Linked DNA regions of Macaca mulatta. The protein of the gene in region 7 purifies or fractionates together with the protein of the main gene of each other region. This does not show direct contact. Links are inferred from orthologs where the notes say so. Each region holds a gene or a part of one and is shown on either strand. Other genes may lie near its edges. The genes, in order: VANGL1, DACT1, NEDD4L, PELI2, VANGL2, CSNK1D and DVL2.

What was found.
Region 1: the proteins of DVL2 (region 7) and VANGL1 purify together in Homo sapiens (affinity purification with mass spectrometry; 4 studies listed by BioGRID and IntAct, with this or other methods). This does not show direct contact. The link is inferred for Macaca mulatta from reciprocal best matches to the Homo sapiens genes DVL2 and VANGL1.
Region 2: the proteins of DVL2 (region 7) and DACT1 purify together in Homo sapiens (affinity purification with western blotting; 3 studies listed by BioGRID and IntAct, with this or other methods). This does not show direct contact. The link is inferred for Macaca mulatta from reciprocal best matches to the Homo sapiens genes DVL2 and DACT1.
Region 3: the proteins of DVL2 (region 7) and NEDD4L purify together in Homo sapiens (affinity purification with mass spectrometry; 4 studies listed by BioGRID and IntAct, with this or other methods). This does not show direct contact. The link is inferred for Macaca mulatta from reciprocal best matches to the Homo sapiens genes DVL2 and NEDD4L.
Region 4: the proteins of DVL2 (region 7) and PELI2 purify together in Homo sapiens (affinity purification with western blotting; 3 studies listed by BioGRID, with this or other methods). This does not show direct contact. The link is inferred for Macaca mulatta from reciprocal best matches to the Homo sapiens genes DVL2 and PELI2.
Region 5: the proteins of DVL2 (region 7) and VANGL2 purify together in Homo sapiens (affinity purification with mass spectrometry; 4 studies listed by BioGRID and IntAct, with this or other methods). This does not show direct contact. The link is inferred for Macaca mulatta from reciprocal best matches to the Homo sapiens genes DVL2 and VANGL2.
Region 6: the proteins of DVL2 (region 7) and CSNK1D purify together in Homo sapiens (affinity purification with mass spectrometry; 3 studies listed by BioGRID and IntAct, with this or other methods). This does not show direct contact. The link is inferred for Macaca mulatta from reciprocal best matches to the Homo sapiens genes DVL2 and CSNK1D.

What each region holds. Positions count from the first base shown.
Region 1 is NC_133406.1:124,612,644-124,616,143, forward strand, and holds part of VANGL1 (vang-like protein 1), read right to left. Parts: intron 2,831-3,500; coding exon 2,698-2,830; intron 1-2,697.
Region 2 is NC_133412.1:131,747,012-131,751,006, reverse strand, and holds the start of DACT1 (dapper homolog 1), read right to left. Parts: upstream 2,801-3,995; 5' UTR 2,415-2,800; coding exon 2,070-2,414; intron 1-2,069.
Region 3 is NC_133423.1:22,628,515-22,632,014, reverse strand, and holds part of NEDD4L (E3 ubiquitin-protein ligase NEDD4-like), read left to right. Parts: intron 1-1,184; coding exon 1,185-1,414; intron 1,415-2,929; coding exon 2,930-3,051; intron 3,052-3,500. UniProt on the Homo sapiens protein: E3 ubiquitin-protein ligase that mediates the polyubiquitination of lysine and cysteine residues on target proteins and is thereby implicated in the regulation of various signaling pathways including autophagy, innate immunity or DNA repair.
Region 4 is NC_133412.1:129,257,249-129,261,367, reverse strand, and holds the start of PELI2 (E3 ubiquitin-protein ligase pellino homolog 2), read right to left. Parts: upstream 2,801-4,119; 5' UTR 2,560-2,800; coding exon 2,483-2,559; intron 2,151-2,482; exon of another isoform or gene 1,896-2,150; intron 1-1,895. UniProt on the Homo sapiens protein: E3 ubiquitin ligase catalyzing the covalent attachment of ubiquitin moieties onto substrate proteins. Involved in the TLR and IL-1 signaling pathways via interaction with the complex containing IRAK kinases and TRAF6.
Region 5 is NC_133406.1:106,462,174-106,464,499, forward strand, and holds part of VANGL2 (vang-like protein 2), read right to left. Parts: intron 1,739-2,326; coding exon 1,478-1,738; 3' UTR 1-1,477. UniProt on the Homo sapiens protein: Involved in the control of early morphogenesis and patterning of both axial midline structures and the development of neural plate. Plays a role in the regulation of planar cell polarity, particularly in the orientation of stereociliary bundles in the cochlea.
Region 6 is NC_133421.1:91,982,589-91,986,633, forward strand, and holds the start of CSNK1D (casein kinase I), read right to left. Parts: upstream 2,801-4,045; 5' UTR 2,476-2,800; coding exon 2,400-2,475; exon of another isoform or gene 2,374-2,399; intron 1-2,373. UniProt on the Homo sapiens protein: Essential serine/threonine-protein kinase that regulates diverse cellular growth and survival processes including Wnt signaling, DNA repair and circadian rhythms. It can phosphorylate a large number of proteins.
Region 7 is NC_133421.1:8,718,185-8,722,139, reverse strand, and holds the start of DVL2 (segment polarity protein dishevelled homolog DVL-2), read left to right. Parts: upstream 1-1,155; 5' UTR 1,156-1,440; coding exon 1,441-1,634; intron 1,635-3,955. Other genes in the region: PHF23 (PHD finger protein 23), read left to right, coding at 1-80.

The DNA.
Region 1 (3,500 bases), on a different chromosome or scaffold from region 7:
AAAAAAACAACTGGCAATAATAATGGAGCAACAAGAGAGCAAGGTGCTGAAAAGACACAGGGGGCCAAAGAGGTTTTGCCTCAGAAATTCGTACGTATCCTCTCACTCAGAAAAAAAAAACGTCAGACGCAGTGGCAAAGTGGTGAAATTAGGACACCAACTTAGAAAAAGCTAGTTGAAGTTAGTAGCTAAATCAGCAAGACAGAGATCGCTCATAACCAAATAACCCCGAATCTAGTCATGACCAAAAAACATGATTTATGAAATGTATGGGCTATGGTAAGAAGTGGTGGTTAAGGTCTCAATCCTATGAACTAATAATCCTTCAACTTGGAAAGTTCGAAGTATCACATACACTGAGAGAAATTCCTATTTAAGACGATGGCCAGAAGCAGCCAGGACTGTCGAACATTACTGGTGGAAGTGGACCATGGCACAGTGCCTCTGGAAAACCACTCTGGCGGTTTCACAGAAATTTAAAAATACACTTAAGTACATGGCTCAGCAATTCCACTCTCAGGTTTTATCCAAAAATTAATAAAAATGTACATCCAGCCAGGTGCGGTGGCTCACGCCTGTAATCCTAGCACTTTGGGAGGCCAAGGCAGGCAAATCACCTGAGGTCAGGAGTTCGAGACCAGCCTGGCCAACATGGTGAAAGCCCGTCTCTACTAAAAATACAACAATTAGCTGGGCTTGGGGGCGCGTGTCTGTAATCCTGGCTATTTGGGAGGCTGAGGCAGGAGAATCGCTTGAACCCGGGAGGTGGAGGCTGCAGTGAGCTGAGATCATGCCACTGCACTCCAGCCTGGGCAACAGAGAAAGACTCTGTCTCAAAAAACAAACCAACCAACCAACAAACAAAAACCCAAATGTCCATTCACTAGGAGAATGGACAACAAATTGTGGTAGACTGACGCAATGGAATACTACTCAGCAAAAGTAAAAAGAATAAGCTGTTGAAACATACCAAAATATGGATAAATCTCAAAATCATTACGCTGAGTGGGGCGGGTTGGGGGACAGGGGTGGACCATATGATTCTAATTATATTAAATTCAAAAACAGGCAAAATTAAACTATAGTGATAGAAATCAACACAGCGGTTGCCTTGGAGAGGTGAGGGTGGGGCAGAGGTTGACTAGGAAGGGCACAAGAGAGTTTCCTGGGGTGCACATGCATGTCTAAAAAATGCAGATGTACAAAGGATCCTGTTAAGCTTGAGGTTCTTAGAAGAAAAAGCACCTAAGATGCTTTCATCAAAACCCCCTAGATATTCAATAAAGAAACTGAGGCCTACAAAGGCTGTGACTGCTCAAGGTAACGGAGCTACTAAAAAATACAGCCTCCAAACACCCATCTCAATGCTTTTCACACCAGATCATCCTTGGGCAACACCAATAGCTTCCCAAAGTAGTTCTCAGATATGAGGTGCAGAGGAGATGCAGAGAAAAAAGAGCCTTTGTTGTAGGCCACCGGCACCTCTGAACCCACATCCGGGAGGAAACTGACCCCCTCATGCACTCCAGGGTGATCCAGTCCTAGGATTGGCCCCACCCAACCATCAGCCATCCCAGAGCCAAGACAGGCAGCACTAAATGCATTTGCTCATTGCTCAGTGAACCCCACGTTCAACCCACAACTGGAGCTTTGAGTCCCAAGAACACCTTGTGTACTCTGAGGAATTCCAGTTCCAGTGCACCTATCTGATTATAAATGCTTACCTGTGTGTATGCACAGGTATGTACAGATGTATGCTTATCTATAGTCCTATATCTGTCTTTACAGCTGTGTATCATACATTGCTTTGTTTATGAGGGGCAAGGCTGGACATGTGTATATATATTTCAGGATGTGCAGAGGGTGTGCAAACATGTTTCTGTGTATAGCTCAGATATTTATTTAAATCAGGTGGGCTGCCAGACAGTTGGAACCTGGAGAAGAACCCACTCAATGGTTTAAAAAATTAATAAAGTGTCAGTATTTCAAAAATACTATAAAGTTAGGATTTCACATAAAATCCGGATTTGCAGCTTTTCTCAAACACTGAATCCCTGAATTCCTGAGCAACAGTAGGTGTCTGGAGCTGCGGGGCTACTGTTTCCTTTACAGAGGCAATGCATTCTCCAGTTAGCCACAGGCTCCTTCACACCACACTACAGCACTCACACTGATGCACTGCACAGACTGCTGTTAACCCAAAGCTTGTTTGATATATTTTTGCCCCCTCTTTTTGATCCAGGGCCTCCTTAATTAACTTACGTTTCTCTACCAGGCATCTGAGTGTGCGGCCTCTGATTTACTGCATAGCTCTAGTAGTAATGGTCAGTCTGGGCTGTCCCACGTTTTTCAAACTTCTTCTTAGGGTTTCTGAGTTTCCTTCTCCCTCTTACACTGTTCCATTGTGAAATGAGCAGTGACAGACTTCAGCTTTTCCCTTCCCTACCCTGTCATCAACCTTGCTGATTTCTTTTCCACACCATGCAAAGCAGGCCAACCAATCATACTTCAGAAGAATCCCCAAGCTACCAAAGGGCAGGACAGGCTGTCCTCAGACCAAAAAGAGACCACGGGACATAGATAAATTAGCATGCTAGAAAAATAAAGACAAAAACCCAAGAGAACCTAAGGAAAACATTTACAGAAAGGAGTCTTAGTCAAGTGGCAGTGTGCTTAGAGACTACCTTTGATCCTTACCTGAACTTCCTCTGTCCGAGCAGAATCATTTCCCAACAGGGGCTCTCCAGTGGGAGGTTGAATGGTGACAGACTTTTCTGACCCTCTGCCATCTTTATTCCGGGGTGACTTATGTCTCTCTCTAGTTCTCTCCCTGAAAAACAACAACGAGCTAGCACATTTATGCCATGTTAATTAACTCTCTGGGTTTATCAAAATGTAAGTATCATTTTGAATTTAGGAAAGTTCTACACACGCACGCACACACACACACACACACACACACACACAGAGCATCAAAACCCACCCATCTTCACCACACTTCAAAGGGTGCATTGATCTTTACTCCCTACTTAATATTTTCTTTCTGCCATCCCAAGACCCAAAACACTCTTCTTGCGTTGCCATAAAGAAATACCTGACACCTTCATAAAGAAATGAGTTTAACTGGCTCACGGTCCTGCAGACTTTACAGGAAGCATGGTACTGACATCTGCTTGGCTTCTAGAGAGGCCTCAGGAAGCTTACAGTCATGGCAGAAGGCGAAGTGGGAGCAGGCACATCACATGGTGAAAGCGGGAGCAAGAGAGAGAGAGTTGGGAGAGGAGGCACGACACACTTGTAAACAACCACCTGTCACTCTTCCATCAACAGTGACATTTTTTCAAAGCCTAAAATTTAATGTTAGGATTTATGTAGCTAGTTACACTTTATTGTAATAATTACTGATTTGATTTGGTTAAAATTTGCCTTAACCAATTTTCTAGGGCTTTTAAAATTGGGACAACATTGTAGAATATCTAAGCTTTGGTATGTCCAAAAAA
Region 2 (3,995 bases), on a different chromosome or scaffold from region 7:
AAATTTTACTGGATGACCTGAAGTAAAGAAAGACTTCGAGAATTCAAGAATATGTCCTATGTTTAATTCCACTTTCTCACATTTTGTGGTGATATAAAGTTTCTTCATAAAAACAAGGCTTTAGTTTCAACTAATATATGCAAACTGACTTTTTATAGGTAGGGACAAGAAAAACGGACTGAGACTTTAAATCATCTGGTGTATAACCAGTCTTTTAAAAAACAATACTTCACAGTAGACTCTTTAATTTGAAGTGAGAGTAACAGATTTCCTATAATACGTTATAATCTTAGGTGAGATTTTCTGGCCAAATGTCTTGGCCTGCAGAGTTTTGTTTTCTATTAGTTGCTGTGTGGGGTTTAATCAGTCTTAGGGCCTTTGAAAGTGAGAAACTAATACTAATAGCCAGTGCCAAGTATAATGTGAGCTGGCAGAATCCAAAACCCTCATGGGAAGGCCCATCGAGATTTGAACGCCTCTGGGTTTCCAAAGGTGACAGATGGATTGTGCTAACTCACACTGCCACCTAGTGCTTCCTATTGCTGGAAAAACGGGAGAACTCAAAAAGCATCTGGTTCAAATCATGAATGCCAAGTCTACAAATGAAAATAGTACCATAAACACTGACTGGACTGGAATTCTCTTGACATACGGCTTTGCTCCCCTCAAGCGGACAATAGGAATGCACAATTACAATCCTGAGATTCGTGCAGACAAAAAGATGCAATTGCACAAGACAATAAAATGTAAAAGTCACCAGCCATAACCAGTGAGAACTGGCTCAAATCAGTGTTACACAGGAATCAGGTCTGTGACCAAAGCAGCATAGTAAAATACCAAAACAGAGATATTACACAAACCACAGTGTACATCCTTACAACACACATGCATATGAATATCTATGCCTCTTGTCTTTTGACTTAAAAAGCTTGGAGACATAAACCATATGTTTGTTTGCTACAACTAATTTCTTCAGGAAAAATGAACCTATCAAGTAAAAGCATTTGGGCGCTTAAAAAAAACACACACAGAGAGAGAAAAGAAATGATCTGAAAAGAGATAATAGACGAAAACATATGACAACCGCACAGCATCACCACTTTATTGTGGGAGGGCCACTACCCGGCATGTGTCTAGTTTGGATAGTATCACTTGGTCAGGTGAGGGCGTTTGCTGTTTCCAAAACTACATTTTAAGGTCAATGAAAACAAAGCTGCCGCCATTATTCTGAGGCGGGGTCAAAAGCTGTTCATCAATACATTAAGCTACAAAGTTCTTTTTCTTCCCCACTAATGAAGACTGCATAGAATGACTGAGACAAATCCAGTAAGATAAATGCTCCCCGAGAGCAGGTTCTCTTTTCTCCCACCTCCACCACCAATCACAGCTGGCAGAACGTATAAAATATGAGAGGAGGGGACACAGTCTCCAGCCAAATTTCCATCATTTCCATCTAGTTTGAGCTGCCTTATACAAAGGGCTTCTATTTGAAATTAAGCACCAGCCTGGGTGAAAGCTGGCATGCTGGGGAGAGCTCTCGGAGAGGCACGGCTCCCTACAGGCGCTCCAGTGTAATCGTAAAACTCGGCCTTGGACAGTTAAGCACGCCACAAACCCCCTCCTTGGCTTTTGGCCCCTCTCGGCGGGAGGAGATGAAGCCAAGAAAACCTCCAAATAAAATGGTATTTTAAGTGGGAGTTTGCAAACCTCTGGGGAGGGGGCATATACTCATCTAACTAAGGAGACCGAAGGTCAGAACTAGGCGACTCCAAGAATCCCGAAGGCAGAGGAGGAGGGAAGAGCGGCCACCCCCTTCCCGCAATCCGCGCGAGGTCGCCAGACACAAAGCGGGCACACGCCTGAAACGCGTGGGCGTCGGCAGCCCACGCGCCGCAGGCACTCAGAAACGAGATCAGGGAGGTATGGGGCGGGCGGGGGCGTCCCGGGGGCGTCCCATAACAGCGAGCATTTCCCCAGCCAGAGTTAACCTCGCGCCCGCCCCAGGTCACCTGCCCGACCTCCAGCCCCGGGGCAGGGACAGCCTTGCTCCACCTCTGGGCATGACCTACCAATTGCTTTCGTAGTAGCAAGATGTTCTCCTCCAAGAACTTCTCTTCCAGGCGGCTGCGCTGCGCCGCCTCCCCCAGTAGCTCCCCGGCGCGGGGCGCAGCGGCCCCCGCACTCCCAACGCCGCGCAGGGCGCCCCGGACCAGCAGCTCCTGGCGCTGGCGAAGGTACTCCAACTCCGCCAGCCCGGCCAGCGTGGCCTCCTGCCGCTCCCGGGTGCGCTGCCGCTCGGTGTCCGCCTCGCCCTTCTCCCGCCAGCGCCCCTCGGGCTCCGCCGTGCGCTGCTCGCCTCGGGCCGGCGCCGGAGGCTCCAGCTCCTTCGCCGTCCCGGCCGGACTCGGCTTCATGGCCCCCAATCCGGCAACGAGCGCCGTCACCGCAGCCGGGCCGCCCAGGCGGAGAAGTAGTGCGCTAGGGCTGCGGTCGCGGGTGGGCTCATGCCGCCCCGCGGCGGGGCGCGGCGCTGGCGGGGGCGGCGGCCAGAAGCCCTCGGGTCCTGCGCGCGGCAGCCGGCTGCTGCCGTCCCGGCCCGGGCGGCGCCGTCCGCTGTCGCCGCGCGTCCCTCGCCGCGGCCCGGCAGCTGATAACGCCCTGCCCGGCGCTACGTCACGCGCGGCGGCCCTGCAAACCCCCGCCTGGCTCCCGCCTCCCCGCGCGGCCCCCCGGCTGCGACGCTCGCGCCCCCAGGCTTCCCCTCTTCTGTCAGGCGCGCCGCCCGGCCCTCAAAGCCGCCTCCTCCTCGCTCGCCCCTCCCCGCCTCCTCCCCCGCTCTCTTCGCGGGCCTCCTCGCCCCCTTTTCGGGTTTACTGCACCCGATTTTGCCCTCGCTCCTCATTGGCTCTTTCCCGTCGCCCAAAGCTCGGGGCGAGCGCCTGGAGCCCCAGCATCCTGTTACAGTCGGCCGCGCAGGCAGGGGCCGCGACGGGACGCGGCAGTTGGGCTCTCCGGAGAACTTTCTGAAACTCGACCAAGTTGCAGCACAGTCTTAACCCTTTCCCCACATGGCCACTCTTCTTTTCCACTCACACCGAGTTAGGTTTCTTTCACTTCCCAGGCAAGGTATTGCGAGTGTATTCACAGACACTGTGGGGTTGGTTCCTTAACTCCACTTTGTAAAGGCAGAGCATAATGCAATGTTGTTCTAAAACTGTTAAGTTTTGTTGTCGTTTTAATTTTTTAACGTCAGTCTTAACGATGGACGGCATTTAAAATTAGGCAGGAGGATGTCGCTGTATAGCGAGAGGTTGCATCGATTCTTTTACAAGCTTACGATTTGAGTGCGCGCGCGTGCGCGCTTTGGTTTTTTGTTTGAGCTTTTATTATTACTTAGTCTGCGTTTACAGTAAGAGCTCTGACTCAGAAATCAGACTGTCTGGATTTGTATCCCAGTTTCACCCCTAAATAGCTGTGCGGGCAACTTATTCCCTTCTGTGTGTACGCTCCCGCCACTGTAAAAGGGGGCAGCTGCTATGGGAACCTGCTGTTGAAGAATTGTAATAATATGCAGCATATGATATATATTGTGCGGGCTGTGCCCTTACAACGTGGCTAGCACATAGATAATAAGGGTGATATGAGTTGTAGCTTTTCTCCAGAGGGATTTGTAAGTCTTCCCTCTTGATGTATCATGTGTTGGTCATCTCTGCTTGGAACACACTACTCCAGATCCCTATCCCACTGAAATTTCCGGTGGGATAGGGGTCTGGAAATGCCACTAGCTGGCTTCTCTGAGGAAAAGCACCACATATATCTTCAAAAGCATCCAAGAACCTCGGAAATTAAATCCAGCAAGTCACATTTGCTGAAGTTCAGGCAAAGTGTTGTGTGAAGGAGTGCATCCTATACCATTTTTTTAAACACTTGCACTTTTGCTCATCTGCTAACCCTTGCTAGGAATTCCTCTTCTTTCCTCCCCTCTCTGTGTGGTC
Region 3 (3,500 bases), on a different chromosome or scaffold from region 7:
GCAAATGTAATTTTCTGCTTATAATTATCCCTGGCAGTTTCAAACCTAGAAACTCTAAAAATTTTTATGGGCAGTGTTTTAAATTATAACATTAGATTTTCTAATGACGCACCACCCCCAAATTGTTCAACATTGCATCTTCTGTTTTACTTTCCAATTCCTCCTTAGCAGTTTTCTCTTTGGTTTTCTCCATCACTATGGTTACATCTCTAGGGAGGGGAGAGAATCAGCTGCAGCTCAGACCCCCTCCGGTGGCCTGGGCTCTGTTGCCATTTCTCCCTGCCTCCTCCCCTCAGCCGGTTCCTCCTGCCCAGGACGTCTCTGGATGGGGCACAATCTCTGATCTCATTTAGGAGTTTTGGTCTCTGTTCCAAAGTCCTGATTCAAGAGCTCATGGATAACTACTATTGAAATGATTATTTGCCTTCAAAACTCAGATGAATACTAAAAATTCCACAATTTTCTTTGTGAGTCACGTCCCCTGGTAATGATAATGACTTTGTGGTCATCACCCAGGCTCTCTGACTCTCACATAGCAGTGTCTGCTACCCGGAAACCATCTCTGCAGTTTCATTCTTACAGCCAGACCAAGCCTGGATTGCCTCTTTGCAGGAGGCAGCTGCCGCAGCCTTGGTCAAGTGTTTTGTTGTTTTCACGTCAGCGAACCATGCTTTGGGCTGCTTTCCCCACACTTGGCATAATCAGGGTCCCGCTCCCCATGGCTGCAAAATGGACTTGAGGCACCGTGGATTATATCTACCACCTCGCGGCCCTGCCAGAGTTGAGCATGGCCCCAGCCTGGCCAGGTGGGGATTATTACAGGTTTTGATTACCTGGGCTAAAGTCTCTTGAGAGAAGCAACAGGTACAGTTGACTGCCTTTCAGTTGCCATATGCCGGAGGAGTGCCCACAGTTGTTTATTAAAGGGGGTGAGGAGGCTGTTCTCCTTCGCAGCAGAGTTTCTGACTTTCCTGAGCATCGCTAGCGGATGCCGTGTGTCCATCGTGACACAGCGAGGCTTTCTGTCTGCAAGGGAAAACCCCTGAAGGAGAGGCTCCCAATTGGAACCATTTGTCACTGCCCGTTTCTTTGAGGACTGCCAACTTTCCTACCCTTGGTTGTTGTTTTTATTAGAAAACAAAACGTGTATTTACTGTGTGTGTTTTCTTTTGTCTTTTGTGTAGGCTGATATCCCCAATAGGTTTGAAATGAAACTTCACAGAAATAACATATTTGAAGAGTCCTATCGGAGAATTATGTCCGTGAAAAGACCAGATGTCCTAAAAGCTAGACTGTGGATTGAGTTTGAATCAGAGAAAGGTCTTGACTACGGGGGTGTGGCCAGAGAATGGTTCTTCTTACTGTCCAAAGAGATGTTCAACCCCTACTACGGCCTCTTTGAGTACTCTGCCACGTAAGTATATGGCCACACCCAGAGTGTGTCCCCCACTGAGACAGTTGTATGAATTTAAACAGAATGAAAGAATAAGCAGCTCACCAGTTCAAGATGCAGTAAGTCTGTTGAGTTTATTCTCTCCTCACCCCACAGCCCCTTGCAAGTCTAGAACAGGTTCTGACTCTACCTGGTGAAAGAGTGTACTCTGTGAACATCTAACATTGATTTTTTTTTTCTTATCTAATGGGTTCATGGAGTTGAAATTGAAAACATGGATAATTGTGGTAAGGAATAGGAGGCGATTTTCATTTGCAGTGTTCAAAAGGAGGACTTGTCAGTGTTAGAATTCGAAAACAAAAAGGTGTTTTTTGAACAAGAGTTGTTTCCGAGGTCTCTGGGTAAAGGCAAATTGTAAGGACTTTGAGGACCTAGGACCATGCCCTGCTCCTGTAAGGAAAGAATCAGGTTTCCCCTTGCATTAGGATTTCATCATTGCCAGGCTTGGAAACTGAGGCAGACTAAATTGCTTTCTGAGCAACCAAAGATCGGCTACTTCCAGGCCAGCCATTCCTTCTTCTGAATCCTCCAAGGGTTAGGCTGGACCCAAGCCCTCAGTAGAATAGTCATTGACCTTGCTGAAGGGTATTTATCATCACTTTAACCCTGGGCCCTAAGGGGACGTGGGTTCTCCCACATCTCCCACGTGGTACCAATCTCCTGGGGGCTCATTTGGAAGGCAACCTCAGTGCATTCTTCTCAGTTGCTCTAGCCAAGAATTGCCCAATTGGTCTGTTGTTGTTATTACTGAGTCCCATGAGAAAGCCCACTATGGACAATTTATCCAACTACTGAAGGTGGAGGGCAGGGTGGGGAGAGACAAGATCTTTACCTCTCCTCCACATTTTCAAAGATACCCCCCTGGAGGAAACTGTCTGTGACCCCAGTTTGAAAACCACTGATCCACATAATTGTGAACCAAGCAAGGTCATTTGGACAAATCTAAACACTTGCAGGTTTGCATCATTGAGAGAGCCATATCCTGTTCCTAATCCCCTTGAGGCCTTTTCAGAGCAGAGTAGTGGTCAGAAGACAGACCAAGGGTTGGGCCCATAGCAGACATCTTATGGCCAAGCCAAAAGCCTCTGGAAGGAATTAACCTTCCTTTATCACAGACACGACCTAAAGTACCCACATCAGTGGGAATGCCTGCACAGCCCCTTTATTATGTGGAGTTTCTTATCTCCCCAAGATACTTGGCTGAACCATATGAAATAGACACTTTGTGGATCAGAAACAGTCAAACATCAGCAGTTTCTTATGGTTTAATTGACTTTAGAGTACACATGCATCAGCTTCCATGGTGGGTCATGGTTGAGCAGGTGGTAAGTCAGGTCCTCTAGCCCACACCTTTTCCCACTAGGTACAGAATGCTTGCAAGGACACTGTAGAAATTGAGTGACAGGTGGCAAAGAAATATGCAAAATCTTGCATTTGAAAGTGTGATTGGTCTTTTCTTCTCTTTCTCCTCAAAAGGGACAACTACACTCTTCAGATCAACCCTAATTCAGGCCTCTGTAATGAAGATCATTTGTCCTACTTCACTTTTATTGGAAGAGTTGCTGGTCTGGCCGTATTTCATGGAAAGCTCTTAGATGGTAAGTCTTGAAGTAATAAAAATAGGTCAGTGCCGCTTGTGGTTTGCTGGTAGGTGTCTTATCTTTTGCATCATGAGTTTTTAAGCAAAAGCTTCACTGGTTTACTCATAAAGTATTTTTATGTTTCTCCCATAATGGATGTGCTTTTCTCTGGTAGCTTATTTTGGGCACTGAAGACATAATGTCTACACACAGTTAAAAACAAAAGTTTTTTTTTTTAACTTCATTGTAAAGCACAGAACATTATGTATTTATACATTTGTATGTTTTCTGGAATAACTTTACTGAAAGCAAGATTTGATAACAGATGGAAAAACTAATTGAAAAGTTAGTTAAAATGATCTCATCCATCTAATATTGTGTGATTATTGCATTTGTCCCCAAATTATTTTTTTAATTTGAAGGGACTAAATAATTTCAAAATAATGTTACCACTCAGCTAAGACATT
Region 4 (4,119 bases), on a different chromosome or scaffold from region 7:
GCACTGAATTTGACAAGCAAAGCTTCTATCAATATCAAATATTAGCCATTTTTAGATCTCAGGAATCATCTCATTATTCAGAAAATCTACTTGAAATTTTGTTTTCCAATATTTATGTCCCAGAGGACATAAAGATAATATCATAAAGATAGTAATTCTGTGTGAATGTTATTGTTGTTTTAAGATGAAGTACACTGTCTGAAACCCTAAGGGTGGAATATCAATAAGGTTCTCTTTAAAAATCTACCTACCTAGTCACTCTTTCACCTGCACTCTTCAATGTGTTCAACACTGGTAAACAGTCAGAAACCTACTCTCAAAAAAAGAAAAATACCACAATTCAAGTATTCAAAAACCAGACTAGCATCCTCTATTCACATTTCACCTCCTGAGAGAGAACTTCCCTGATCTTCCAGTCGAAGAAAGCAATACCCACCTAAGCAGTCACTCTCCAAGTTTATCAGCTCCTCTTTAGAACTTGGTTACACCTGAAATGGTCACTTATTACTCACCTATTTGAATGTTTCTTTCTGTTTATGCCTGTCACTCCACACTAAAATGAAAGTTCCCTGTTCTCACTACATCAGCAATGCCTAAACAGCACAAGCACAGAGTAGGTACACAAATGACGATTGAGTGTCTCGCCCACTAAGGGCCAACTATGTCATACCTTGGTCTCCTGGAAAAGCATTAGCAAAGGGCAGAGCGTATGCAACTGCAACGTTATATCCACAGGCTCCTGTGCAGTAAGACCATGTATGATACTAGGACAATCCAGGGTTTCAATCCTTTCCGTGGCTTCGGAATGCCCTGCACTGCCAGCTATGAACACAAAACCTCTCCAGGCCCACTCGCTGCTTTTCTGAAACATCTCAACAATTATTTCCTCAAAAGGAAATAATGAAAATAATGTCCTGGCATACGTTAATCTTCCACGTCAAATTCCCAGTGTTAAACATACTTTGAAGCCAGCCACACAAAACCAAACTCCACAAAATTAGGTTGGGCTGAAGTTACATAAGACAGACTATACTGTGGTTTTTCTCCTGTCATTCCTCCCGCCTTCCTGTGAACCCTGATATTTGTCTTTGAAGTGCAATTAAGATGCAGGTGAGAAAAACACTTACCTGCAAACAGCTTCAAAATAGGTAATGAGATTTCCAATACTACCCCCACTTAATGCACTAGCAACAAAGTCAGGAAGACTGGGAAGCTTTGAGTTGTGCGGTGTCTGGAAGCTTCCCTTAAAAAACTCCTCTTAAATTATTTTTAAGTCAGCACTTACTTCAAGGTACTCAAGTATCAAAACACGTTTTGCAAAGTTCCCTGAGTCTTCCCACAGCCATGACTCCTCATATGTGTGCTAAGCCTACCTATCAGCGCCAAGGATGTTCTGAATACAGGTCTTTCAACGCAGAAGGACAAAAGCGCGGGTTCCCAGGAGCGACACATTTGGCCAAAGGAAAAAATAATCCTTTCTTCAACACTAAACCCAAGTTGTTCCTTCTCCCCAGTTTCCTGCACTTCCCCCCTCCCCCTCCCCTTTCACTGCCCACTATATCCAGCTATAATCCCGCGAAGCCTCTCTCCCGGCTTATTAAGGGTAAACAATAGAAATGTCACAAGGAAACTCAGGAAGTAGATGAAGTCTCTAATTGCTGCCGTTTAACGATTGTACATAATTACTATCTACAAAATGCGGCTTTCACCAGCAGAGAGGGAGCCGAGGCGGGCGAGGCTGGCGAGCTCCCCGCCGCCGGGAGGACACTGGCGAGGCGGGGACCAGGGGGATGCGGCCCGCGCCCCAGTGCCAGGCCCCGAGCAGCCGCATCCTGCCCCTCCCCACCAGGGCATTCCAAGGAGAAGCGGAGGACCGGCCGGCCCGGGTCACACACCGTTCACTGCCCTCGGGCTGCGGCGGCCCGCGGCGGTCATCGGAACAATTTCCAAAGCGCAGCCGGGGATCCCACAGCCCGCGGCGGCCCGAGCTCACGGCGCCGCGCTCGGAGTTCGGGGGCGCGGGAACCACGGTCCGTCCGGGAGGTGGGAAGACGGGACTCCGGGCCGGCCGGGCTCTCAGCTTCGGGAAGCGACCCCGCGAAGTGCCCGCGACGGCGGCGCCTCACCCCGAGTTCCTGCCCGCCCTCCCCGGGCGGACGCGGCGCGCGGGAAGTGGAGCCCCTGCCCCCGCCCTCACGATACGGCCACGGACCCGGTGCCCGGCGCTGCCCCCGCGGGGTCGCCCGAGTCCCGGCCGCCACTTCCTCCGCCGCCTCCTCCGCGGGGACAGCGCAGCCCGGCGCCCGCCGCAGCGCCTGGAGCGCGCGCCCATGGGGGGCGTCCCGGCCCTGCGAGCCTCTCCTGCCGCCCCGAGCGCCCCGGCAGTCCCCAGAGAGCGCCGAGCCACCCCGCCTGCCCCACTCGAGGATGCGGACGCTCCCCGCCCGCGCCGCTGCCCGGGACCAGGGACCCCAGGACTCACCCGAGCACCACCAGCTCCCCGTATTTCACTGGCTCCTTATTGGGGGCGCAGTGCTCCTCCTGGCCAGGGGAAAACATGGAGCCCCGCTCGGCAGCCGACGCCGCCGCCGCCTCCGCCGCGATCCCCGCTGAGTCCGCGCCGCCGCTACAATCCCATCCCGAGAACGGGGTGAGCGCGCCGGGGAAGGGCACGGCGGCGAAGGGGGCGCGGGGCGGCCAGTCCCGCTGCTGCTCCGTCGTGGCTGCGCGGCTGTTCCGCCTGACTCCCCGGAGCTCCGCGCGCCGCGGCCGCCCCGAGTCAGAGCCGGCAACAAATGGGACCGGGCAGTAGGGGGACCTGCCTGCGCTGAGCGCCGCCGCCGAAGCCCCGCGGGAGGGAGAGAGGGAGGAGGGAGCGGGAGGGAGAGAGGGAGGAGGGAGCGGGCGCAAGAGAGGCGGGGGCCGCGCGGGGGAGGTGGGGGCCGGCGCGCGGGCAGGTGGGAGCCGCCCCGCCCCACGTGGAGCGAGCCGCCCGCCCCCGGCCCGCGGGGCGCCCCCTCCCCCTGCGCGTGGGGCCGCCCGCCCCCCTCGGCCCGGCGGAGGCTCAGCCCCTGTGTTATGTAAACATAGAGTAAAAGGGAAAGGAAGTTCTTAAAGGAGCAGCTCTATTTTTTTTCCTCACTTCCTTCCCCAAACTTAGAGCGCGGGGTTCTCAGCCCTCGCCGCCTGGTTCTTTAGCCGCGAAGGCCCGCGGGAGATCCTGGAAGCGAGCGGCCGCGGATGCCAAGCCTACGTTTTCCTGACTGGAGTTCGATGGGATTAACTTCCTCTCCAAGTAGAAGAGCGCTCTCTCGGTGTCACTGTGTCCCGGCTTACATCTGGAGGTGTCTCACACACCCACTTGGGTGCCTCCCCTTCCAAAACCAAGCAGAAAGGCGTCTAGACAATTAGAAGGTTTTGCCAGTTGGTGCTGGAGTAGAGGACGTTTCGAAGGCGCTTGGAGCACCCCCACCGTTGTACTGGATGTAGCTACCCCGGCGTGTCGTCAACAGAACTCCAACTGGCTTTTGGGGGGTGACAGAGGGTTGGGGGAAGAGTTGTTTTTTAATCCATACTTTATCCACTTTTCCCGTGCCTTCTTTCCATCCCCTAATACATATAAGGAGAAATTACCTGGGTGGATTTTTTAGTGAATGTAAATGTTCCTTTATGACCATGATTTAATCAGTGCACTGTTTGCTTTCTATTCTTTTTAAACTAGTCATTGCTACAGCTTTAAAATATTGTAGACTGTAATAGTTTTACTGATTGCTGTTTTTCATCATACAGGATTTTATTGTTCTAACATTTATTAAGCACTCATAATGTGCTAGAAACTCTACATATTATTGCCAGTCACTGCCTCTCAACACTGTTAAATATTTAAAGAAATAAATGCTGCAAAAGCTGCCCTGTGTATAGTGACTGGTTGGCTATGACCCGAAGCAAAGGGCTAGAGAAAATAATAATTGCATCTGTAACCTTCCATTCCGCTGTGCTGCACCCCTTGTGTAACCTTCTCTGACAGGTTATTACGGTAGTGACATGATGTTTCTGGTAATTTTACTTCAGTTAGGAACTGATTTTTTTTTAATTGAGGCTTTAGAAATAAATTATTCC
Region 5 (2,326 bases), on a different chromosome or scaffold from region 7:
AGAGGAATGGCCTAGTCATTGCAGCCATTGGAAAGGTCCTCCATGTGGATCCTGGCTAGATGTATATGGGTACTTCCTAATTCTATTTTCCTTGGCAAAAATGTCTGAGTCAAAGGCTCAGATTTATATTGAAAAGATTTACTAGAGGACCAGCAAATTTTGCTCAAAATGAGATCTAAATGATCAAGAATTTGGATTTGGTGCAAAGACTATGGAAGCTAAAACGGGGTGAGGGGTGAAGTACCTACAAAAGGCAGTGATCCTTGTCCCTCAACCCAGTACAGAGGGAGCCCAGAGCTCAGAGAATCAGGCAGGGAGAAAAGGGGTAGGGACCCTGGAAGGCCAAGGAAACCAGACCCCTGAGGCAAAGAACTGGACTTAAGGCAGGGGATGAGGAGGAGCTGCCAGCTCTTCCCCAAAAGAGATGAGGCAACAGGTCTCTGGAGTTGAGAGAAGACAGCAGGACAGGGGTGGCTGATGACAAAAATAAAAACATTTGTCTAAGACCACCGGGGCCGGGTCAGGGTCTGCAAGCCACTAAGTCTGTACAGGACTTACCATCCTTCACTGGGAAGAGCAGGGAGGAAAGTGAGGGTAGGGTCAGGGAGCAGGAGTCAATGATGGGGGTCTCTCCAAACCCTCAGGGATCTATTCAGCCCTCCTCCTCAGGGACTGCCTAGGAAAGACACATTGGAAGAAAGGTACCTTCCCCCAAGTCCCTGGAAAAGTGGTCACAGACAGTTTCCACTTGTTTGCCTATGGTCACGTGACCATACAAACCAAACACATGAGGTGGAGATTTCTGGGAAAAGGATGGGATCCTTCTTTGCTCTAAATATATGTGGAAGCAAATGCTCCTGGCAAGGAGATTCCTAACTCAGACTGTGTGGCAGGAGTATCCCTGCCCCAGAACCCAGGGTTTGTTGTGGCTGGTGTGAGGGACAGGAGGGCTAGTTGCTGCCCTGGAGGAATTTGGCACTGTGGCTCTCTGGAGTCATGACCGTGTGCCCCAGAGAAACCCTGCTGGGGCCACTGAAGAGAAATGCTACAAGAACTTGGGTTTGTGAGTCGAGGCTCAGGAGGGGAAGGTACAATTAGCAGGGTCCTGTGCCCTTTCAGGAGAGACTGCAATCTGGGAAAAGACTAGGTAGGGAAAGAAGAGGGAGAGAGGCACTGATTCCTGCAGCGCCTAGAGTAATACAAAAGTTGTTGGGGGCAGGGGGGAGGGGTCCTTCCCAGGTACTGTTGACAGCAGGATGGTCCAAGTTCACATGGGGTAAAATAAGGAAGAGGCGAGAGAAGGTGGGGGTAAGTTAATTCAAGTAAAAAAAAACAAAAACAAAAAAAAAAAAAAAAAAAAAAAACAAGAGCAAGAAGAAGAAGGGTGGCAGGAATGTGGCTGGGCCTGAGAACCAAGCCCCTTCCTACTCCCTCAGGAGCCCTCCAGAGTCTCCCACTCCCCCCTGCTGTTGCACAGTCACACTGAGGTCTCAGACTGCAGCCTCATGACAAACTTGTGCGACTTGGGATCCACAAATTCCTCGGAGAGTTTGAAGAATGGGACCTTCTTAGTGCTGACCACCAGGCTGAAGTCCTGGCGTTTTAAGAGGAAAACGATGCCATCCTTAAGCCCGTTGGTCACTGGCTCCTCGCTCACCAGTGTCCACTGTTTGGCCAGCCAGCGTTCCTTGTGGTACTGGATGGTAGGTCCAGCCGCCAAGTATCGCTCCAAGAAGGCCTGAAGAGAAAAGAAGGGGCTGAATAAAAATCTCTGTCGCCTACGCACTATCCTTCATCCCCTGGGGCATAGTTTCCAAAGACAACAAGGACGTCCCTGAGCTCACTCTATGCATATGAACTAGAACTTCAGAATGTTACAGCAGGAAGGGGCCTGAGATCATCTGCTTCAGACCCTCATTTTATAAATGAGGAAGCTGGAGTGCACAAGGGGATGTGGCTCATCAGGTAGGACTGAACTCGGCTCCCCTGACCCCCATCTGCTGCTCTTCTCCCTGCACCAGGCTGTGACCTGGGTAAGCCCTCCCTCATTCTTCCTTCCTTCCCACACAGCTTATATGATTAATGCCAAGCAGGTTTTGTTTTTTTGCACCAGGAGGGAGCCAGAGGTGTCAAGGTTAAAGTGCAACATCTTTAGTTACCTGCTCACCAAGGGTGGCTCAGGGAAAGCAATTCTTGGAAGCTGGCAATAGAGTTAAGGGTGGGCAATGGCTCAAAATGACACAAAGCCAAGACCAGCTAGTGGAGGCGAAGAGGGTAATGGGGGTAAAGGTGGGCCTTTGGATCTGGTAATTCCAGAGCCCTCATA
Region 6 (4,045 bases), about 83 Mb from region 7:
GGAGGGTAGAACGCTGAGTGAGGAGACAGCCTTCCACCCTCCACCTCTGGAATCACTTGGTGACAACCACACCAAAATTTGTCTGACTCTATCTTTGGAAAGCACAAAAGTTGTTTGACAAGGTCTCAGAGAAGAGAACAAATAGTTTCAAAGTACTTCTTTCTTTTTTTTTTTTTAGACAGAGTCTCACTCTATCACCCAGGCTGGAGTGCAGTGGTATGATCTTGGCTCACTGTAACCTCCGCCTCCCAGGTTCAAGTGATTCTCGTGCCTCAGCCTCCCAAGTAGCTGGAATTACAGGCAGCCACCACCACGCCTGGCCAATTTTTGTATTTTTAGTAGAGACAGAGTTTCGCCACTTTGGCCAGGCTGGTCTCGAACTCCTGACCTCAAGTGATCCGCTCACCTTGGCCTCCCAAAGTGCTGGGATTACAGGCGTGAGCCACCACGCCTGGCCCAAAATACTTCTCTTTGATGCCTGCCTAAAGGTGGTTAATGGACTGGCTTTGCAGTGTAACTCAGATCCTGGGATTAAAACTTTCGCCAAAATCTACTGTTCTATAAATAAGCCAAACGACTTCCATTTACCAAGCACCCTGACTTCCAAAACACTGCCAAGAACACATCCAGCTGACCACCTGGTATAAATGTTTAAACAGTCAAACCCAAATGTCTAAGGCCTGCTTACTCAGCAGGCCACTAAGGCATATGTACAGGTTCAAAAGCAACAACATGGCATATGACGGGGTTACCCGGCAGATTAACCAGGCACCCGAAGTATGAGCCACCCATATGTATGGATTCAGCCTAACGCTGTCAGCCCACCGGGTCCTGAGTTCTCTCTCTGGTGAAAAATGGGAAGGGAGTGAGAACTGGGTACTGTCCACATGTGGGTTCATCTAAAAGGTATGACCAGAGGCATTACTGACATCCCATGGGATTCCTGACCCTGGCTGACAAATGCCCCAAAAGCTAGGGCTGCTGGAACAGAAAACAGCTCCCCTCAAAGGTCTGCAGCAGCCCCTCTGCAGGCACACCGCCTCAGGCTACATATCCTCAAATGCAAGGGGTCTTGGAATAACTCGCGCACTGCACAATCCCACTGACAAGTGCAGAAAATTGTTACTTTAAAATTACAAACTTCCGCCAGGCGCAGTGGCTTCCCAGCACTTTGGGAGGCCGAAGTGGGCGGATCACTTGAGATCGGGCGGGCGTTGGAGACCAGCCTGACCAACATGAAGAAACCCCGTCTCTACTAAATATACAAAATTAGCCCGGCGTGGTAGCGCATGCCTGTAATCTCAGCTACTAGGGAGGCTGAGGCAGGAGAATCGCTTGAACCTGGGAGGCCGAGATCGCGCCATTGCCCTCCAACCTGGGCAACAAGAGCGAAACTCCGTTTCAAAAAAGGAAAAAAAAAAAAAAATTACAAACTTGAAGATTTAAGCCAACCTTTCATTACACTTGTGTTCATGTGCATATTTTTCCATTGTAAATATGACACACCCCAGAACGTTCTAATCCCATGTTTTTTGAAATCTACCGTGAGACTGTTATAGTCTAAAGGACAGCTCATGAGTACAACTACTTCATCTGCCTCTCACTTCGCCAGCATCTTAACCCTGGGTGACTTTCTCTACCGTCACCTAAACTTAACCCTTGCTCATCTGCACTCAGTCACCGCTCCAAGGCCAAGGGGCACAGGCGAGAGAGAACCCCCAGCGGTCAGTCATCAGGGCGGCTGCGAGGCGGAGGGCAAGCTCCGCTCCTAGCCGGGCCACTCCCCCACTCCCACAAGGCATTTGGGTCTTTCTGACATTTTCCCCCACGCGTGCAAGACGCAGGGGCAGCCTCTGTGGGGGGAACCAGACAGCCCCGGACCGGGCTGCGGAAGAAAGACCGTGGCCTTTGTTTACTGCGGTGACCTTAGGCGTGGAGGAAGCCGACGCCCGCTCCGCCGCCCCGGCCTTGCCCCCTCCCCGCCCGCGGCCCGCTGCCCCCACCCCCGCCCTGCCCCTCCCCCAGGCGCCCCTCCCCCAGGCCCGCCTCCCCACGCCCCACCCAGCCCTTCCCGGGTCCGCTCCCCACGACCCTGCCCCTACCCGGGTCAGCGCCCCCGAGCCCATGCCCCACCCCGGGTCAGCTCCCCTGTCCCCTCCTCCCTCCAGACCCTGCTCCCCCGACCTGGCCCTGCCCCTCCCCCACGTCCGCTCCCCACTGCCCTCCCCACCCCTGGCCGCGCTCGCCTAGTGGCCGTTGGGTTCTGGCCACGACCCGGCGGCGCCCCGACTTGCACGCAGACCCCGCGGGGGCCGCCACTTCCTTCCGCGGTCGCGATTGGTCTTGGCAGCCTCTGGGCCCGGGTCCTCGAACGGCGGGCGGGGGCGGCGGGGCCTCACCGAGATAGATGTCTCCGAAGGAGCCGCTGCCGATCTTCCGGCCCAGCCGGTACCTGTTCCCGACTCTCAGCTCCATGGCGGCGGCGGCGGCGGCCCGGTTCGCTCCTGCCCTCCCGGCCGCTTCCTGGGTCTGAACTCCGGGAGGCGGCGCCGCTGCTGCCGCTACTGCGGGTCCGGCTGCCGGCTCCGCCCCCCTCACGGCCCCGCTTTCACCATCGCTTTCCTGTCACCCCGCCGCTCCCAGCGCCTCAATACGGGGCGGATGGGACAGTCCGAGCGCCGCCGCCGCTGCTCCGGCCCCTGCCGACCCCGCTTGCCCTCTCCCCGCCGCGGATGGACTCGGATCTTCCGGGCCTAAATCCCCCTTCAGCTGCCTAAAGGAGCCGCCGCCATCGCGCTGTGACGTCACTTCCCCTAGCAACCCGGTGGGGCGGGGCCGCGGCGCTCCGGGGGCGGGGCCTGGCCCTCGGGGGCGGGGCCGGGCGGGGCGAGCGCTCCAGGCCTCCTCCCAACTCTGCGCAGGGCCAAGCCCTTCTGCCCCGCACCGTCCCGTTACCCCTGGACCTCGGGCCGCCAGCCCCTTCCACCTGCAGTCTCCCGCTGCTCTCGCGGGGGCTTTTCGTGTGTCCCCCGAGATGTCGAGGAAGCCAGATGAGTTCCTCGCGACAGGCGGTGCCTTTTGCAGGAGGGGACAGGTAGCTGAGGCCTGGACAGAATGACAGGCCAGGCTCAGGGGACACAGGGGAGACCCCCTCACTGGGCTACCAGTTCCCGGGCTTGGGGCATCCCAGGACGTCAGCGTCTGCAGCCTTACCTCCTGACACCTAAGGCCAGAGACAGGGCGGGCCCACGCCTTCGGAGGTCCTGATGTCCAGCTTGGAGGTCAAGGGCAAAGCCACCACCTTTCACAATACGAGGCCAGACCACCTGCCTCCCGCCAGTCCCTGCGGCCTGGAGACCGAGTCAACATTCTTATCTGTGTTGGTTCTGAATGTTCCTCCTTGCAAAAGAAAACAAGGAGTGGACGTTCAGGCTGATGGCCAGCTTCAAAGATTGGGGCCTTTGATTCCCATCGCTGGGAAGAAAGCCCTTCAGACAAGCCCCCTGGGCTGCGGTGCATGGGGACCTTGAAGAACCCGTACCCATGGTCCCACGTCCATGTATGTTGAGACCTGTCACATCCTCGCTGAAACTCAAGAACGTGAAACAGGTGAATGTGTGTTTTGAGGCAGTAGCATACCAGGGCTCTGGTGTGGGCACCACAGCGTGAGTGAGACAACAGCCTCAGCCCGTCCAGGTCACTGCAGAAGAGGAAAGCAGCCCCCGCAGGCCCCGCAGTGGTGCCCGCCTTTCTCCACCCCCAAGTCCTTCCTCTCCACCCCTCAGCTCCAAACAGCTGGAGGTCGGGTGGGGGAGGCAGGTATCCATTCCTGAAGTTACACAGCAGGGCCTGGAGACAGGAGATGCCACTGGCCAGACCACCGTCAGTCACTAATGAGGCACAGGCAGTCGGAACTGCCCAGTTTCTGAGTTACAGGAGCCTGGGGTGGGGGCTGCCAGACTAGTAGAACTGACCTTATTGGCAGGATCGCTCATGGCTTTTCTGTTGATGAACAGAGCCCAGTTCTCCCGCGGTGACTGTGATC
Region 7 (3,955 bases):
TCTTTTATTGCCAGAAATGCAAGGAACTGAGGCCAGAGGCCCGGCGGTTAGGGGGGCCTCCCAAATCTGGAGAGCCCTGACGGCACCAACTTTAGCCTGGAACTTCCAAATGATAACATGATTTGGGAACTGAGCCTCAGGGTCCTCAGCCTACCCCCTGGAGCTTGGATACTGTCCGCACTTCAAGGCAGGAATTCCCAAGGGAGACTTGTTTGAAAATGAGTGTCTCACTTTCCTACCCTATCCGTCCTCCCCACTCTGAACTTGAAATTGAACCCATTACGGTTGCGGGTGGGAGGCTGTCTGTGTCTCTAGACACATAATCTCTGTCTCTTGGACCTGCCACCATCACTTTCTGGGTCAGGATTGGAATTGGGATGGAATGGGACAGTTGTCTATAAAACTCTAGTGTAAATATTAGCACTCCCCTCCCTCATCTTTTCTTCTATTTCACTCCCCATTTATTTTCTTCTACACCGGTTGTATTTTTAATTTTGGACTTCCCCTACTGGGCATGGCAGCTCAAAGGTGGAGTACTAGAGCCTGGCCAAGCAAGGAAGGAAAGCAGAAAGGTGACGATTCTCACTCACCTCTTTTTAATAATATTGGCCGCTGTTTGTACAGACAGCCTGCGTGTTGTGAATAAAGCAGAGTGGGCTCTTTTGTGTTTATAGCCCTCACTGTCCTGCTTGGGAGGGAGGCTTTGGTGGCTGAAGACTAGCTGGACGTGGTGCTGAAAGCCACCTCTCACAGTCCAGTCTGAAGATGGCACAGCACTGGGCCTCTCCCACCCCAAGATACTTGAGTAAGCCACCTCAGAGCTTTCATTGTATTTGGCCCTCCCCACTCGAGTCTAGGAACCCCCACAATCCCCACCTTCACTCCCTGCACGCACACTCCTGAGGGTCAGAGTTGCTTCGCGCTCCCGCCGGTGTGGGGTAAAGCCGGGTGGGAGCCGACTGTCCGCTTCCTGAGGGCACAGGCCAGCTTATCCTGGGTGCTCGGAGGACCTCGGCTGGGGTACACCTTTGGGGGCTGGGAGACCGTTGCCGAAGGCAGCGATCACGTGGCGGGGGCACTAGGAGGAGTCACGCGGTCACGTGACTGGGAGGGGTCACGTGACGGGGGCGGCTGAAGAGCGCGGGGTGGGCGGGCTTAGGTCACGTGACATGAGGAGAGGTGGGCGGGGACCTGGAGGACGCTCGCGTTGTCGGTGGCGGTGGCGCGCGGCGGCCGCTGAGACCGCGGCTTTGAGTCGCACCTCGCGGCCCGCCCCCCGCCGCCACCCTTGCCGACCCCTGCTTTTTTCCCTTTGCTTCTCTCCAGTACTGGGTCCGTCCTGTCCGCGCTCGCTCGTCGGTTTGCGGGTGTGCGCAGGCGCGGCAGGGGCCATTAGCCCCTTGGGTGGGCGGTGGAGCCCGGGAGCGCGCGGGCGAGACCATGGCGGGCAGCAGCGCTGGGGGCGGTGGGGTTGGGGAGACGAAGGTGATTTACCACCTGGATGAGGAAGAGACTCCATACCTGGTGAAGATCCCTGTCCCCGCCGAGCGCATCACCCTCGGCGATTTCAAGAGCGTCCTGCAGCGGCCCGCGGGCGCCAAGTACTTTTTCAAGTCTATGGATCAGGATTTCGGGTGAGCGCAAGGCCTAGATAGGACCGACGGGGGCTTTGCTAGAGTGGATTGGGCGACGTGGAGGGGCACACATCTACTTCGGGCCACACTAGGATTTTCTGGCCTGTGGTGGAGCAGATTGTACCATGCTGAGGTAGGTTGACTCTCCCAGGATGGACAAGGTTATGCTTGGATAGATTGAGGCACACGGGCAGACTAGGATATCCTAAACCAGATTAGAGACGATTAGGCTCTACTGGAATAGGTGGGGGCATACTGGTTTATTTTGGAGTGTTTTAGACTGTACTGAGTAAATTCATTTATCGTCTGGTCGTTTAGTACGTTCTCAGGAGTCCTGTAACGCCTGTAATCTCAGCACTTTGGGAGGCCGAGGCGGGCGGATCACGAAGTCAGGAAATCGAGACTATCCTGGCTAACACGGTGAAACCCCATCTGTACTAACTAAAAATACAAAAAAATTAGCCGGGCGTGGTGGCGGGCGCCTGTAGTCCCAGCTACTTGGGAGGCTGAAGCAGGGAGAATCGCTTGAACCTGGGAGGCGGAGGTTGCAGTGAGCCGAGATCGCGCCACTGCACTCCAGCCTGGACGACAGTGCAAGACTCCATCTCCAAAAAAAAAAAAACACCAAAAAACAAAACAAAACAAACTTGGGCCATTATGGACTCTACTGGGCTGTATTGGTTAATCCTGGTTTATCTTGGGGCAAGACATGGTTTTATTGGAGCACTCAGTATGGGGGCAGACAAGGCTGTTGGTGCCCATGCTAGTACAGGTAGCTGTATTGGGGTATTCTAGTCTATATTGGTGCAGACAGCTAGCTGCGTGTGGGGACATTGTAGGCTGTGCTAGAATAGATTGGGCTATCCTAGGGTAATTTGGACATTCAGGGCTATCTTGGACTAGATTGGCATGTAAATAATGCAGAGAAAGCCCTTTTGTGTTTATGGTCTTTGGGGCTGAGCCCTCTCTGGGTCCTCAACCTCTGCTTTTTTTTTTTTTTTTTTTTTTAAAGACAGAGTCTGCTCTGTCGCCCAGGCTGGAGTGCAGTGGCTGATTCTCGGTTCACTGCAAGCTCCGCCTCCCGGGTTCACGCCATTCTCCTGCCTCAGCCTCCCCACTAGCTGGGACTACAGGCACCCACCACCACACCTGGCTAATTTTTTGTATTTTTTTAGTAGAGACGGAGTTTCACCGTGTTAGCCAGGATGGTCTCGATCTACTGACCTCATGATCGGACCGCCTCGGCCTCCCAAAGTGATGGGATTACAGGCGTGAGCCACTGCGCCCAGCCCAACCTCTGCTTTTTTGAAGGCAGGCTGGATTAAGTTGAGATAGCATGGGTTTTAGAAGAACTGAACAAACTGGACTCTAGCTAGAAAGATTGTTTGACATGGGAAGGGTGATACTATCTTGGGAGTTATCTTGGCTTTAAGTCAAGGTTCTTCTAGTTGTCAGCAGTGCAATCTTGGACAATTAATTTAAATTTTGTGTCTTGATCTCGTCTGTGACATGGAGAAAATCACAGAATGAAATGGTTAGTTCAGGTGTGTGGTACATGGTAAATTCATGGTGAATGGTAATTGTCATTAGTATTGAGGCTGACTACTCTATAAAGGTTATGGTGATACACAGTAATTTGTCTTAAGAGTGGACTGAGCTATGCTGAGATTGTGTTATGTTGGGAAGAATCCTACATGATGCTGACACAGATTGGTAGTGACTGGGCTGTGTTGTCACATTGACAGCAAATGGATTAAGTTGATATATATCCTGGCTCTTATGACCATATTAGGCTAACGGGTTAATTAGACAAGGTGTCCTAATTTGGCGGCAAGGGTGTGTGTGGAAAGAGAGAGAGAAACAACCAGGGCAGAGAGTCTGATGCTTTATATGTTTATTCATTTAGTTGACAGTATTTGTTAATGCCTAAGTGTCAGTGTGTGGTGTGTGGCCAGGACATGGTGTTGATCAGAGTAAGTGTTCATGGTTTGATGTCGTGGTCAAGAAGAAGGGGCAAGTCCAGTCCACCACAGGGAACCCATTGGAGAGATGACCCCAAGGCTGGGCTTTGGGATCTGTCAGGCTGAGCAGATTGCTTCGTGCCGAATTTTGTGCCAGATGAGGCACAGGGGAATGGGAGCGCCAGCTTGCTCTCTCCTTGGGAGCTTTCAGTCTAATGAGGAGCTTCCATTGTTTGTTTGATCTAATGGTGGGTGGTTTTGTTTTTTGTTGTTTTTTGTTTGTTTGAGGTGGAATCTCACTCTGTTGCCCAGGCTGGAGTGCAGTGGCGCAATCTCGGCTCACTGCAACCTCCGCCTCCT